2 linked regions of the Struthio camelus genome follow. The protein of the gene in region 1 interacts with the protein of each later gene in a pairwise test. Links are inferred from orthologs where the notes say so. Each region holds a gene or a part of one and is shown in the gene's direction. Other genes may lie near its edges.

Evidence for each region. The genes of interacting proteins can lie anywhere in the genome.
Region 2: the proteins of RETREG3 (region 1) and STAP1 interact in binary tests that used the Homo sapiens proteins (3 or more experiments, as listed by UniProt). The two-hybrid records come from large-scale screens. The link is inferred for Struthio camelus from reciprocal best matches to the Homo sapiens genes RETREG3 and STAP1.

The regions. Positions count from the first base shown.
Region 1 is NC_090966.1:7,760,304-7,767,632, reverse strand, and holds the start of RETREG3 (reticulophagy regulator 3), read left to right. Parts: upstream 1-4,326; coding exon 4,327-4,508; intron 4,509-4,679; coding exon 4,680-4,786; intron 4,787-6,349; coding exon 6,350-6,380; intron 6,381-7,329. Other genes in the region: TUBG1 (tubulin gamma-1 chain), read right to left, coding at 1-37, 865-991, 1,600-1,679, 2,452-2,520, 2,783-2,950, 3,603-3,715, 3,960-4,104. UniProt on the Homo sapiens protein: Endoplasmic reticulum (ER)-anchored autophagy regulator which exists in an inactive state under basal conditions but is activated following cellular stress.
Region 2 is NC_090945.1:5,207,510-5,215,374, forward strand, and holds the start of STAP1 (signal-transducing adaptor protein 1), read left to right. Parts: upstream 1-4,864; 5' UTR 4,865-4,982; coding exon 4,983-5,174; intron 5,175-7,865. Other genes in the region: CENPC (centromere protein C), read right to left, coding at 1,381-1,427, 2,949-2,963. UniProt on the Homo sapiens protein: In BCR signaling, appears to function as a docking protein acting downstream of TEC and participates in a positive feedback loop by increasing the activity of TEC.

The DNA.
Region 1 (7,329 bases):
TCGCGATCCGATTCAAGGCCGTGTTGTCTAGAACCACCTACAAAAGAAAACCACCTCCATGAAGAGTCTTGAGAATCACCTGGAGGAAATGCAGCCCTAGCCAAGTGTCTGAGGGAACCAGATCACGCAACCTGGCCCAGGACAGGCCCTGAGCGCCACAGCCCGGTGGAGCCCTCTGCAGCAGGTGGCAGACGCTTGAAACCACAAGCTGACTCATTCCTGGAGCGTAACCGATACTGTCAATGGAAGCTCTTCCCTCCTGTCTTGGCTGCGCTCCCCAGAGCTCTCCCAGGAGAGCGCTGCCTCTGGGCCAGCACCTCGCAGCGACCTTTACCCTCAACAACCCTGGCACAGCTGCTCTTGCCCTGTCAAATGCAGAGATAAGCTGGGAGGGACGAGCAAGCGTCTTGGTTAGGACCTGACAGAAGGCCAAGGTGTAGGCTGAAGATGTTCTGTGGCTGGGGCTTGTGGGTGCTGAAAGTGATAAGCGGATTCACGGTCAAGCGGAAGGCAGCAGCACAGCTATGCAGAAGCAGCACAGCTAGCACCAGCCCCTCACTGCCATGGGAAGAATATGCTGTAGCCACAAAGCAGAAATGCCAAAAAGGACAGCTCAACCAAGGGTTAGCGCAGAGCCCTTGTCCCTGGAACCACCACATCTGCTCAGACCTTCTGGAGGAAAAAAGGAACTGTGCGCTCACTGCTGTGCCTGGGGCTGCCAGGCTGCAGCTTCTCGCCGCAGCACTCGTCCCACGCACCTATGGCACCTGCCCCAGCAAAGGCTGCGTTTTTGAGCTGCTGGGAACAGGTCTGCCATACAGGAATTGGCTGCCCCACGGGCCTGACATGCAGCAGGACTCTTACCACGCAGTCCGCGTTCTGAGTCAGCCTCTTGAGTGTCAGCAGAGAGTTGTACGGCTGCACTACAACATCGCTCATCTCATCCTGGTTTGGGAAAACTGAGTAGGTCTCCACCAGCTTCTTGGGATACCTGGTGAGAAAGCCCAGCCGTCTCAGGGGTTAACATCACCAACACAGGACTCTCTCCTCCCACAAGCTCCCTTTCCAGTCTCTAGGGCTCAGGACAGCAGTGAGTCACTGGTGCTGCATGCCAGACTCAGCTCTCAGGGAGGGAGAGGATTTGTCCCAGCAGTGCCTACCCTAGCAGCACAGGAGCAGGCTGCCAGACGGAGCTACAGCCAAGGCTGAGCCATCCGCGGGCAGATTAAGCAGCTGCTTACAAGCCTTTTCAAGAGGCTGCAAGCTGCAACAGGCAGGGATGGCAGCTCAGAGCCCACAGCTAGAGCCTCCCACTCTCCCCAGAGCAGTTAGGGTGTCAGGAGGCAACTGCCTGATAAGAACGGCTGAAGAAAGACAAAATTTGGACAGCATGAGTCCAGATTCAGAGCCTCCGAAGTCCTCAGGCATATCAGGAGCCATCCCTTTCCAGGCAGCTTGCCAGGGATTGCACAAGACAGTGTTTGGGTGGGGGCAGCGGCCCAGGCTCTGAGTCAGCGCTCTCAAGCTCTGTGCTTTGGCAGGGTGCCCAGTCTGGGCCAGACTCTGCCAGGAGGGAAGGGGATAAAGCTGAATGCTCACCTGTCATTCAGCTTCTCAAGGAGATAGGAGCCCAGCCCGGAGCCTGTACCACCAGCAATGGAGTGGCAAAGCACAAATCCCTGGAAAGAAGCAGAACATAGGCAGCTCAAGGTCCAGCTCAACCCAAAGAGCAGACAGAGCAGAGACAGGCTGAGCCACCACCACCAGCAGAGACTTGCCAACACAGGTGAGAACTACCCCCTGTGACAAGAGCTGCTGAGAGCAAAGAGATGAAGCCTTTGAACGGTACGTGGAGGTTAGCCTCGTCTCCTCCAGACTACAGCGGCAGTCACTCACTAATCACACCACTTCTGCCAGCGGGGGTGCAACCTACTTCTTTGTACATGCCAAGAAGAACAACTGCTGCTCAGGAGCCTCCTGGATTCCTCCCACCCTGAAACAGGCTTCAGAGTAGCTTGGATATCATTTTCAGGTCTCAGTCAGTCAATTAAAGTGAAGATATAGGTTCTTAGCCCTTTCCCTGGGCCCTCCATGCTATTCCCCTCCTTCTAGGATCACGGAGGCCAAACTCCCTCTACCTGACTTCAGCGCAGCTCCCACCCACTGCAGGTCCCACAACCTGCTCTTTGATCTTCTGCCAACCTATTTTAATATCACTTCCCTTGTTGCCATGTGACAGCTTGATACAAACACCAGGGAGCCTTGTTTGGGTTTGTGCAGATGGTAGCCAAGGTACTGCCAGATGCACAAGGCAAAGCAGTCGAAGAACCAGATACCCTTCTCCTCGACATCTCTGAGCTATTGAAGGTATCTCTGGTGCGCCTATCAACCAGCCTGGCCCTGGAATCACCAGTCAGGGCAACTGGACTGAAAATCCCCCGATGGACTTACTTCCAAACTGTCACTCCCATCAGCTTCTCTGTCTATTATGTCAAAAATATCTTCATGGATTTTTTCTCCCTGCAAGATAAAACCAAAACAGGACTTGTTCCTTCCCTGCACAGAAGGGTAAAGAGCCCCTCAAACCTGGAGTGAAGACAAGTCAGATCAGCAACGGGACCCTGCATTAAGGGTGCCACAAAGTGTCAGTCATAAGTCTGTTTGAATAATATGGTATTCTTCAGAGAGCATGTACTGAGCCCGGCATGAGAAAGGCCACAATAAATCCTCATGCCTAAGGAACTGACAAGTGCTTGGGCAGAAGAGCACCAGAGCCTTTTACCTGTGAGAAGCCACTGGCCCAGTTGTTCCCAGCTCCCCCTCCATGCTCAGACAAGTAGATGTTTTCTGGGTTGTAGAGGTTGGCATAAGGGGAGTTCAGGATGGAGTGGATAACTCGGGGCTCCAGGTCCAGAAGTACAGCTCGCGGGATATAGTGCTCATCATCTGCCTTTAACAAGGAACAGTAAGATCATGATGCAGGAGCAACTCAGTGCAGCCCTTTACTGCAAGAGAAACTGCAACTGAGTGCGCCACCCCCTGGCCACAGCAGAGCACAACACAGTGTCATCTCCGACAGAGAAGACGAGGTAGAGAAACTTGTTGTACTGCAGCAGTCTTCACGAGCCCCAGAGCCTATCAGGAATGTTGGGCGTGCAGAGTGGCGAGGGGGCTCTTCCATAAAGGGCTTACAGTCTCAGCGGTTATGTAACGTGGAAACTATAAACGTCTTTCTCAGGCACTACAGTCCTACCTTCAGCAGCCTCCGCAACACATCCATTTCCAGAAACCGGAGCACAGACAAGAGCCCTGACCGACGCTGCCTAGCAGGAGAGCTCAGCTGAGCCTGCCACTCACATAACCGGACCCAGGGTCAGAGTCAGCCCACGGGGCTGCAGGAGGGAGCCGAAGCTGTCGGGAACGACCCTGGCGGCCCTCAGGCGCGGACGAGCCGGGTGAGGAAGAGAGGAGCAGGCGCGGCGCGGCGCGTCCCAAAGCCGGCTCGGCCAGCCGAAGGGCGGCCGGCGGCCGGGTCGGAGCTGCGTGCGGCACGCCGAGGGCGCAGGCCGCAGCCGGGGCAGGGCAGCGCGGGCCCGCGGTACCTGGTAGAAGAAGACGTCCTTGCGGTCGGTGCCCTCGGTGGCGAACTCCTCCACGATGCCCTCGGGGCTGATGCCGTGCTCGGCGCAGAGCTGCTTCCAGAACTCGAAGCCGACTGCGGGCAGGGGCGCTGCCGTCAGGAGCGCCGGGCCGGGTCGGACCCGAACCGGGGCGCAGGGGCCGCGGCCGGGCCGGGCCGAGACCCCGGACCGGGGCCCCGGGCATCCCCCCGCGGTGGCCCCGCCCCCGCCCCTTCTCCAGGCCCCGCCCTCTTCTCCAGGCCCCGCCCCCTTCTCCAGGCCCCGCCCCCTTCTCCACAGCCTCCCGCCCGGCCCGGCCCGGCCCGGCCGCCCGCTCACTCTGGTTGCCGCACTGGCCCAGCTGCAGCGTGATGATCTCCCGCGGCATCGCGGCCCTCGTCCCGCGCTGCCCCGCGCCTCCCGCCGCCGCTCCGCGCCGCTCCCAGCCGCCGTCTCCCGCCCGGCGCCAAGCGGCACTGGGCATGCGCGCAGTGCACTTCCGGGAGACCGCCGCTCGCGCCCCCCCCGCCCCTCGCGGCGCCCCGGCAACGCGCGTGCGCACTGGCCACCGAGGGGGCGGTGGCGCCTGCGCCGCCATGGCGGCGCCCGCTGCGCCCCGACTTCCGGCTCTGGGGGCCGCCATGTCGCCGGCGAGCCGTGCGCTTGCGCGCTTGCGCGCGGCGGATGTTGACGGCGTGAGGGAGCCATGGCGGCGGCGCGGCCCGGCGGCCCCGGCGAGCGGCAGCGGCGGGTGGAGGCGCTGAGCGCGGCGCTGCGCGGCCGCCTGGGGCCCTACGAGCCGCTGCTGAGCGCGGCGCAGGCCGCGCTGGTGTGGGAGCGGCCGGGCCGCAGCGCGCTGTGCTGGGCGGCGGCGCACGGCCTCTTCGGGTGAGCGGCGGCGGCGGCCGGGCCCTGGGTCCGTCCCCCCGGTCCGTCCCGCCGCGGGCCCCTCCGCCCGCCGCCGCCGGCGGGCTAGCTTTGGGGCTGGTCTGCGGGACTGCCTCTGCGCGTGTCGTACGCGGCCGCCCCGGGACCGATCCCTTCGTTTCTTCCCCCTAGGTTTTTTGCTCTCACTTCCCTGCGGCTGGTGTTCCTGGCTGCCCTCGCCCTCATGGTGCTGGTTTGCCTGGATCAGTGGAAGAACAAAATCTGGCCTGAAATTGGAGGTAAGCTGCAGCGTCTGAGCGGGTCCCGGCAGAGCAAGCGCTCTTGTTGGCTCTGGAAGTACGCGCTCTGCATCGCTTGGCGTTACAGGGTTAGGTTGGTTGTTTGTTTACTTTGTGAATCTAGAAGCAAGCAAAAAGACTTGCTGTTTTGTGCCGCTTGTTCTTCCTGGAGTTGCTTTGAAAAGGCCCGACCTATGTAAAAGTAAGACGAGCGAGTGGCATTTGTCTCGTAAGCATGGGAATTCCCTCTTGCGCTTCAATTGCTAGAAAGTTGAGATCCTTTAAAACGTTACTGGGGGCCTCAGTGCTTGTAATGCTTTTGTTTATGGGATGTCATCGCAGGCTCTTGTTTGCTTGCCAGGTGTGATTTTAGGGTGTGTTGAAATATTGGCCAGTTTGAACTTTTGCCATCTTTGCTTGTCACCTCTGTCTGATCTTATGCGTTAAAGATAAGATATCCTTGAGTTACAAGGGAATTACCTGTACAGCCTTAAGCTGATGTTGCATAGAGTATTCTGCTAATAGAAAAACTTTGTAATATTAATAATTCACTAAAGTGATAGCATGCAGGTATGAAATATCTGATGCATGTGAACTAGTCCACGTTTTGAAGAAGAGGTTTGTCTTCCAAGCATTTAGTACGTTTGAGGCATATGCGGACTAGGCCTGCCCTTTCTCCTCTGGATCTGTAATAATCCAGCTTGGGTGTTTTAGGATAAAGATGGATCCCAGCCTTGCCTACTGAGTAGAGATTTTTTTTAAAGGAGAAGCATCTGAAAGGCTGCTAATTAAGCTAAACTTTTAGTAAACAAGCAATCCTATCTATCATTTATAATAATAACATAATCATGAATAAGAGTGTTTTTAGCAGTTCTGGATTTTATTTGCTTTGCTTGGATGGGTGGGTTTCGAAGCAGTATGTATGGTCTGCATGCTCCCAGGGTTGGTTCCTTAACTAACTAGCGAGTACAGCTGCCAGCTTTCATGCTTCAGCTTGTGTTCTCCGTAGTTCTTGGGAAGACATTAAAGCTCTACTCAGTTTCTAGCACCAGCTTTTTTCTGACTATATAACTGAAGTGTTCTTACTTACAGAGAAGTGGGGAGAGTTCTCTCTCCAACTCCCTCACAACCTAGATTTAATTTGGTTGGATAACTGATACATCCTTGAGTCACTTTTCAAATACCAATCTGGGTGACAAAGTATCAAAAAACTTTCTGATGCCTCTGAATAAACAGGCTTTCTTCCTTCACCATCTGGGGGTTGGGGGGGGGGGTGAAAGCAATATATATATATTTTTTGCTAATACCTGTTGCTGTAGCCAGAGCAGATGCTGTCCAGCAAATAGTGAAGAGCAACAAGGAGACTGTCTTGCAGTCTTACACTGTTGTATGTGCTAGTTCAGAATGTGCTTCAGAGTGATGTTTCTCTGGTTCTTAATTACAGTTAATATTTTTTTTTAGGCATTCCCCAACTCATTAAAGCTTTAGTTATATCCCAAGAGCTAAGCATTCATGCAGCAGAATTCCTTGCAACTAATTTAGTGTCTGTTCTTAATGTTTTAGTGGCAAGACCTGATGAATTAGACAATGAGAGGTAGGAAACTAATTGAATCCTCTGCTGTTTGGTACTTTGCTGTGATAAAATACAACTATTACCTGCATATGTTTGTAATGTTGGCTTCTTTGACAGGGGAAGGAAGGGGGAGAAGGGAGCTGGTTAGTGGAGGGAGGATGAAGCCCTGGATTCTTTCAAACCATTGTGTCAAATTTTTGACTTGCCCAAGCCATAATACTTAACCTCTGCCTTGATACTGGCCTATGATAATGCTTGCTTGAGTGTTGTAAAACTTCCCCTGGCAGTTCCCCTCACACCCCTTAAATTAGAGGTGCTGCCTTAAAAACAATTCCTTCTGTATGGGTCTCTTTTTTGAGGCGGGGGAGAATACTCAAGTCAGCCTTCTGAGACTAGATATGGGATGTTTAACAGGCAGAAGTTGCTGCTGCATAGTTATGATCTGAGTGCAGCATTAATAAGGGGTTGAGAAGTGCTGGGGTACTGCATTACTAATAACACCTTCCTCTCTCTGGACACACCTTTCTGCCTGCTTCTGCTGCTGAGCCACACTGGATGCTCAGATTCCTGGTTAAATCACTTCATCTGTTGCCAGATGACTTTTTTTTTTTTTTTGCGAGAAGCCCAAGTACAAAAGGAATTGCTCTTGCTAAGCTTCAGTTCCTTGTGACTAGCAGTTAAGAAGCGCTAATAGAACTTGCCAAACCTAATGCCTTCAAAAGTGGCTGAATGTATAAGGTGTGGTACAAAGCTGCTTGGAAACCTCATGCTGAATACTTGGCAGTTGCACTTGACTGAAGAAATGCAGAGAAAGCAAATGAATGCATTTGATTTGCTTCTCTATCCTTTTGCCTTTAGCTAAACTGACAGAAAAATGCCACTTGATTTTTTTTTGTTGTTTTTTTGTTTTTGTTTTTGTTAGCTACTGGCAAAGTTTTCTTGATAATGAGCTGAAGCTGACTGCTTTTGG
Region 2 (7,865 bases), on another chromosome or scaffold:
TTGGAATAGCCCTCAGGTAACACAACTTTGGGCTGAACAGACTTTCTGGCTTTAAAAAAAAAAAAACAAAACTCATGTAATACTGTCTGCACAATGATCCAACCTCAGCACACATGGAAAGGAAATTTGTAGGCAGCACATCTGTCTCCTCACACAAAGAGCCACCCTTGTCTTCTCTTACTACCACTCAATCAGTTACTCCAAGCTTCTACCATAGCTTCAACAGCAAGAGTTGGCTTGAAGTTTCAAATCTGTAAGCAAGTATCAAACCAGCTCAAATGGTTAGGTTGCTATTTCTTATCTCCTCTAAGGGAACTGAAAATGGCAGAAGAGATCCACTAGCTAAAACACTTTGATGAAAATAACAACAAAAAAGCTACAGAACACTTCTTCCACGTGATTATTATATGTCTTCTAAAACAGATAATTTTGTAGATTTTTTTCTTAGCAAACTCATGAAACGCATGTCTAGAAACGGATGCCAGTAACACAAAGCTCACTAACTTCTGAAATTCCTTTAGGAAAGACTACAGCACAACAAATACTCAAGCTACTCTTCAGTACTCAACATACTCAACATACAATACTCAAGCTAATTTACCAGAAAGGGCCAAACAACACAAGTTCGAACTCTGCAGGTGCTTCATTTCTCTACAACCTCAGAGGAAAAACGTTTGCAAGGACTACTGTTTCAGTACTCAACTAGCCTAGCTAGAGGTAGCCTCAGTATCTCTGCACCATAGTCTGCCACTTTAATAGAGGAATGCAAAGGAAAAGCAGTCAATGAAAAAGGAAAGAGCCTGGGAAGGATAGAAAGTAAAAAATATATATATACACACACATACATAAGTACATTGAATTTATATTAAATATATACACATACACACATCTATGTATTTTTTTAATGTAAATTACTTAAATTGTGTAAATAAAGGACTCTATCCTGTGGACAACCTATCACTAGATGTCATACTGGCTATTGAGGTGGACAATATTCTCTGTTGCAGAATTGCTGCCATCTGTTCTCCGCTCTTTGCGGCAAATGAAACAGTAGTAACACCTTTGCACCCACGAGGTCTAGGAGGAATGCATGCACTGAGGTAAGAGAGCATCAGAAGCATATTAAACACTAATTTTTCCAACCATTGATCAAAAGGACATACAAAGTGCTAAACTCCAAGCTTCAGTAAGACACTGTATTCTCTCCCTGAGCACAATTTGCTTTGCACTGCTAAGAAATACAAGTTGGGAACCGCTACATAACCAATGTTAAAAGATACGCTCCTGTAATTTTGACATTAAGTTCACAGAAATAAATCAGGGTAACTTTTCCAAACTATACTGTCTAAAACTGGAATTTTAAGTATAAATGTAAATTACCCTCCTCCATGGCAGAATCTTGTTCTGTAGTCTTTTTTGAAAAGGTTCTGTTAAGAAAGAAGAATCAGTTTTTAACAAGCACGTTGCCAACAAATCTTGATGATTCTTGATTCATCATAAACTAGTAGCAGTTACTGCAGCCCTATTATTCTGAGAACCCTGCAGTTCTGACAGATGTGCTCAGCACCCCTTTAACAACTGCCAGGGATTCAACTTTCCTTAAGAAGCATCAAGCATGTGTTGCATTGAAATTAATTGCAAGACTTACATGACAAAAATATTACAGAATCTAAGGGATTAGTTAAATTTTCTATTGCCATTATAGAAATACTCATCTTAACAACAAAAAGGAATCAACGACCACAAAGCACGCTAGGTCGTAACCTTACAGCCCATCTAACTGATCTGTGGAAACTGCTCACATAGAGATTCTTACCCTGTATTTTTCACAGGCAAGACCACGACAGGCAGTTACAGCATAATAGCCATTCCATGATAAAATTACCACCTTGCTGAACTCAACTTTAATTGACAGTTATGACTTCTTCCAATCTGCTGCTGGAATAAGTGCATGTGCAGTATGAAGATCATTCAGTCCTAATGCAATAGAATTCAGCATGCTCTTCCTAATAATTTTGCCATACTGAAACCATTTCATACTTTTCCGAATAGAAAGTGATGGCTTCACCTAGGATTTCTTTCACATATTTCTGCAGATACTACCTCTGCTAATAAAAATGACCAAAAATCTCATTTTATTCCAAAAAAAGAATTTCATTCCACTGCAGATTTTCAACCTTAAAACGGTAGGATTAAATCCCATATCACTCAGTGAATTGAATGGCTTATAACACAAAATGTCATCACTTCACAACAAGTACGGAAACTGTACTCTACAGTGAGCCAGTCGCTTAGGCTTGAAGCTCTTCAAGCAAGCAACCTTTCACGTAAAAAATGAAACATTCCTGTGTCGGAGCTAAAAGGGCTTTTAAGTTTATTGGTGATTATGTTAATACTCCACTGCACATAAAGAGCCTTTAAAATTTTACCCACCGCATATATATATCTGATGGTGGTCTGCAGGAGGAAGATGGGTACCTCTCTAATATAGCTAGGCAAGAATTATTGATTCTTTGCATGCTACCCCCTAAAAGGAAGGTTTTCAGAAACAAGCAGTAGGAGCAGTTACAGGCAGCCTAAAGAAAACAGGGCTCTCAGAAGACAAGCTCTCAGCACAGAACTGCTTGTGCCAGCACCTGGGGCCGAGCCAGTTGGTGCGGTGCCCGTCAGGGAGGGCAGAGCACTAACACCGGCCGCGGTCTCCCCAGGAGCGAGGCCCAAAGCAGCCCCAGGGACCCAAGGGTTGAGCCGAGACTGCACGGCCGGAAAGCACCGCAGAGGGCTCGGGCAGGCCTCGGGCCGGCCCAGGAAGCCCGCGCCGGGAGCCGCCCGGCTGTCAGGAGTGCAGTGAGGAGAGAGGGGCAGGGGAAGGGGAGGGTAACAGCCGCTCGCGGGGCTCGCGCCGCACAACCGCCCCTTCCCGCGCCCCCGGGCTCGCGCTCTCTCACCAAGGCCTCCGCCATCCCGGGCCGCCGCTGCCACGACAAAGACGAGGACTCCCGGCCCTACGGCGCGGGGGTCGGCCAAGCCGTCACCCCGCGCCCGCCTCTCTCTCCCCCTCCCTCCCCTCCGGCCGTTCGCCCACCCGCTCGCCTCACGACTTTCGCCTCACGACCCGTTCGCCCCTCACGACTTTCAAACCTCGGGGGCTTTCCCACTGCGCGCCCGCGCGCGCGCGCGCAGAGCAGCGGCAGCGCCCCCTTCCCCCCGCCCCATTGGTCAGCGGGGGGCCGCGCGCCGGAGAGGGCGGTATCTTTGCGCGCGCGCCATACCCGCCTCCTCCAGCCGTTGCCGCGCGTGCGCAGAAGGTTGCGCCGCAGGCTTCCCCCCGCCTCAGGGGTAATGGGGTCTTTCTCTCGCGCGGCCGTTGCCTTTATTCCCCTCTTTCCCCCTTGAGCCATTACTAATTGCGCTGTCTTTAAAGCGCAGAATGTAGCAAGGTTACTCGGAGGATCTGCTCAATCTGTCATGATACTCATTCTCGAATATTCATCCCCATCCCTCCCTAGGCAAGGTCTCCTGGCGGGTCACTGCATTATTTTTTTCCTTCCTGTATAAATTTCAGCAAAGTTCAAATACTCAGGTTTCTAATAAACGCTGCAAAACACCTACAATCACCACGAGATTTTGACTTTTTTTTAAGCGTTATTGAACTCAGCCGGGAGCTACTGCTGAAAGAACCGTTTGAGGAGATACGCTGCTACAAAAGCCAGCCCAAAACATATCTTAAAAAGACACATTTTTAGAGCGCACCGCACAGGACCGAGTTCATCAGCTCCAGCCTGCATAGTCATTTTCTGTCTTGCCATGCAACAGTGCAGGTACCTGTCTTCATAAGCTCTTCTGCAACATTCAATGGTGAAGTCAGAGTCTGCCATTTAAATTAAATTAAAAAAGAACGCACATCAACTTCTGCAATCTGAAATGTAAACAAAAGCTGAGACTATGGATCTGTCCACAGCAGTATTTAGAGATGACATGGAGATGACATGGAGAATTCACTTTCGCCTATACAATTGTACCTCTCTTTTCTGCTAGGGCTGGCTAGCAGCTATATGATCCATCACAGATCGCCTTACAGGTCAATTATGTACTCATCTTACAGGTGCATGCTGCTGAAAAACAAAAAAAAGAGCAGGAAGATGTTCAACAACAAATGATCCACAGAAATTTTTCACATTCACTTTATCTCTCACACCAAAAAGCACCAAAATACCAAGTCCTGTCATTGCTATTCTTTCTGAACGCTTTAGGAAACGCCAGAAATGAAGCAAAACATAACGGTTCTGTGAAGTCAATGGAAATTTCACCCCTCATTTCAGAAGGACCAACATTTCACTCTTGAACTACAATTTCCCTTCACAATTTTTTATTTGGCTTTGGTATATTAGCTCTTTCTATCCTGCATGCACACTAGAAATTTGGCTGTCAGTAATAAACAGTGGTAGGTAGGCTTATTTCTGATATTACTGTTGGGGTTCTGTAATCCTACTAGATGTCCCATTTCCTAAAGAAATTTCAATTAAAACAGTCATAATCTGGTAGTCGTAATGTTAAAACACATATTCACACAGAAAACTTTCAATAGTACTGTGGAAGCAGCTAAGAGTACAAACAGTCTCCCTAGCTGGTAGATAGCCCATGTAACCCTTGTTGGACCCAAGTCCAATACTTTTAAGTTATAGTAAGGAGGCTTTTCTGCCATTATCTCTGAGTGAAACCAGCTGTAGTAGTGATGCAGTTTTGTACCAGAAGGTTCATCATTTGGCTCTTCCTCTTTGAGCAAACCAAGGAACGAGCTCATAGATGTTTTGCTAGAAAAGATCCTTTGAATCCATTCAGCCTGGTTCCTCCTGTGATTATATGTTGAGTAAAGAGTCTGTGGCATGTACTGACCTAAAAGTAAGTACAGAGACTTCCTCTTTAAACTGTTGGGTTTTTTCCCCTCTCACCGAGGTGAGTTTCTTCTCCAGCTGAGGCTGATGCAAGGCAGGCAAGAGCAGGAAAGAGGGAAAAAAACATCTGATATCCAGAGGTCCCTGGGAAGCATTATGGAAGAGCCTGAGAAAATTCCTAAACCGGCTCCCCGGAGAATCTTCCACGAGAGACAGAGGGTCACCGGTCTGCCTTTGTACTTTGAAAGTTATCTGTCAATCCGGCATTCAAGATGCCAGGTAAGGTGCCCAGTCCCAGTAAGTAGATATGTTTAAACACTTTTGCAAAAATCTGCCAGTGTGAGCTGCAGACTTGGGGGGAGAAACACTTCTCAGTGCTGCCCAATGCATGTAGTTGCACCGAAATAAAGCTATTTTGCTTAATTTGCACTTTCCATTATTTCTGCTCATGCCTCTTGAAAAAGAAGTAAACCAAAGTATGTAATGTAACCGTCAATATCTCCAGGGTTCCATTATAGTTTACTGTTACCTACTGAAAAGCAGACTAAAAGTGACTGGTTTCATAGTTAACACCATGGTGAAAGTCAATGCAATATTTTTAATAACAAGAGCAAAGTTTGACATTGTAACGTTGTTCTGATGCATCCCATATTTACTGGACAATAGTATCCATCCTGAGATCTCCAGCGACACACCACTTGAAGCGTACATGAGGCATTCTATACCTATTTTTGTTGTTGTTGTTAAAGGCTGATCATTCAATATGTGTGGACTAACTGAGAAAAATAGTACCTTGATTTTTTTGACACACAATAACCATTTAAGACCCAAGTTTGTAAGTGCCTTCATACTGTTCTGTGTGCTATCGTAGCATATATTTTCAGAGCATGTCCTTAATCAAGCTGATTGCCTTTATTAGCACTTGACAACGGTGATCCTTTGTACTTAGGGTTACAAAATAGTCTTTGCCTTAACCCTACCTACACTCTCATCTCTGTAGATACAGAAGCACAGACAGAGTAGAGAAAATATGAGTTACAGAGGCTAAAGATGGATATAGTCAAAAGACGAAAATAGCACAGTGGTTCACAAGAACAAACAGGTACCACAGAAAACAGGAACTCCAAGAAGCAAAAAGCAGACTATTAGCCTTGCTGTTAAATTGTTTGCAGCTCTCAAAATTCTTCTAAGCATTGCTTTGCTGTGTCTAGCATGAGAATACCTGTATGTTTAATAAAGCTCTCTCACACATTCCTTTATTTATATACTTCTACATTAAAACTTTTTTCCTGAAGAATCCTCCTTCGGAAATGTAATCATCACCATAATACAATAATAAACAATAGCAGGCCAGAGCAATAACACACAGCCAGTCTAAAAAGGCTTATGTGATGCTGAAGAGGTATACTAACCACCTGAACTACAGACCAGACACCAGGAAAAAAGAACTCATTAATACATATTTCTTAACTGGATCTGACTCCTAAAAAGTACCATGTTACTATGAGCCACTTCAAATCATATGGCACCTTTCTGAAAAAAGAAAGGACTCTCTGTGTGCATTACTTTTACAAATACTACTCTATTTTAAGTATCTAAAGATGTCTTTAAGCAGTGGCCAGCTTCAGTTTCACGTAGTGCTGCGTTACAAGTACTACTTCCTCCTGTGCTAATAGTTCTGCCACCTCCTCCTCGTGACGCAGGTAGACTGCATACAGGGCCTAAGGAACACTTATGGCTGTGAAACACCAACAAATATTCCTGGGCTAATACTACTGCATTTCCATAGAGCACAATGCCCAATTTATAAGGTGTGATTCAAAAATTTCCCACGACATCCAGCACCCTGCCTCTCTCAGCCAAGCACTACGCCACAGCAAGCCTTCACAGGCTTCATTAACTTGCTAGGGACAGATGTTTTAAGGAGGACATTTATGTTCATAGCACACTGCAGCGCTCAGAGCTTGGGGTCCAGGGGCTGAATGCTATAGAGGACATTACACAAGTGATTTCACAGAAGCCACCAGAAAAACTAGTTAGGAGTTAGCAGTGCAGGGAGCAAGGACCACCTGCAAGATACTTTAGGAAAAATATTTTGTTCAGTCTAATTCATATAACCTTGGAGACTTGAAGACTTATTTCTTTTCTCCATTTCTGTGAAAACCTCCAACTTCGTGTCAAAAAAAAAAAAAAAACCCAAACAAACCCCAAAACAAAATAGGTAAGTAAAACGAAGACTAAAACAGAACATGTATTTTACAGGTTTGCATTCCCGATTCACAGTCCTGTAACAAATACACTTCTCAGGGGCACAAGAACAACAGAAAAACCTTTCCCGTCATTCAGGGCAAGATAGTATTAAGGAACATTTGTAACAGTCAGACAGTCGTATTTACCATGACATTTGGTTGATTACGTGCGGTTGATTTACAAACACTATCACATGTAATTTACAGACAAAGTACATGAAATATATCACTTCAAGTACAAGAAGTCCAAACAATAGGTTAGACTACTGTCAAGTTCCGTGAGAAAGGCATTAACGTGGTCTTATCCCTAAAGCACATAAACTAGCATGATCAAAATTAAATACAAGTAAGCAGTTCAAGGGAACAGTGTTCAGAAGACTGGCATCTTTAAACATGTTCCTGTTGCACGATTTTCCACTTTCTAGAGAATGATGTGCTGAGAACAACGAGGAAAGAGTTTGCTTTTTGTTTACTAGCTATCTTAAGCAGGATCGGGATCTTGCTTTTTCTGCTTTTCAACTTAAAAATTAAGCGAATGTCCAGCTCACTTTTGTATTTGTCCAAAGTATGGAGTGTCATTTTTATGCCTTTTAGGGACAGTGAGAGTTTTAAATGGTACTTAAAATATATTTTTCTTTCATTACTTATTAATTTTAAATTGACAAATGTTAAAAATCTTCACTGTTGGTTAACTGGTAACCAGAGGAGAATGTGTTTTTAA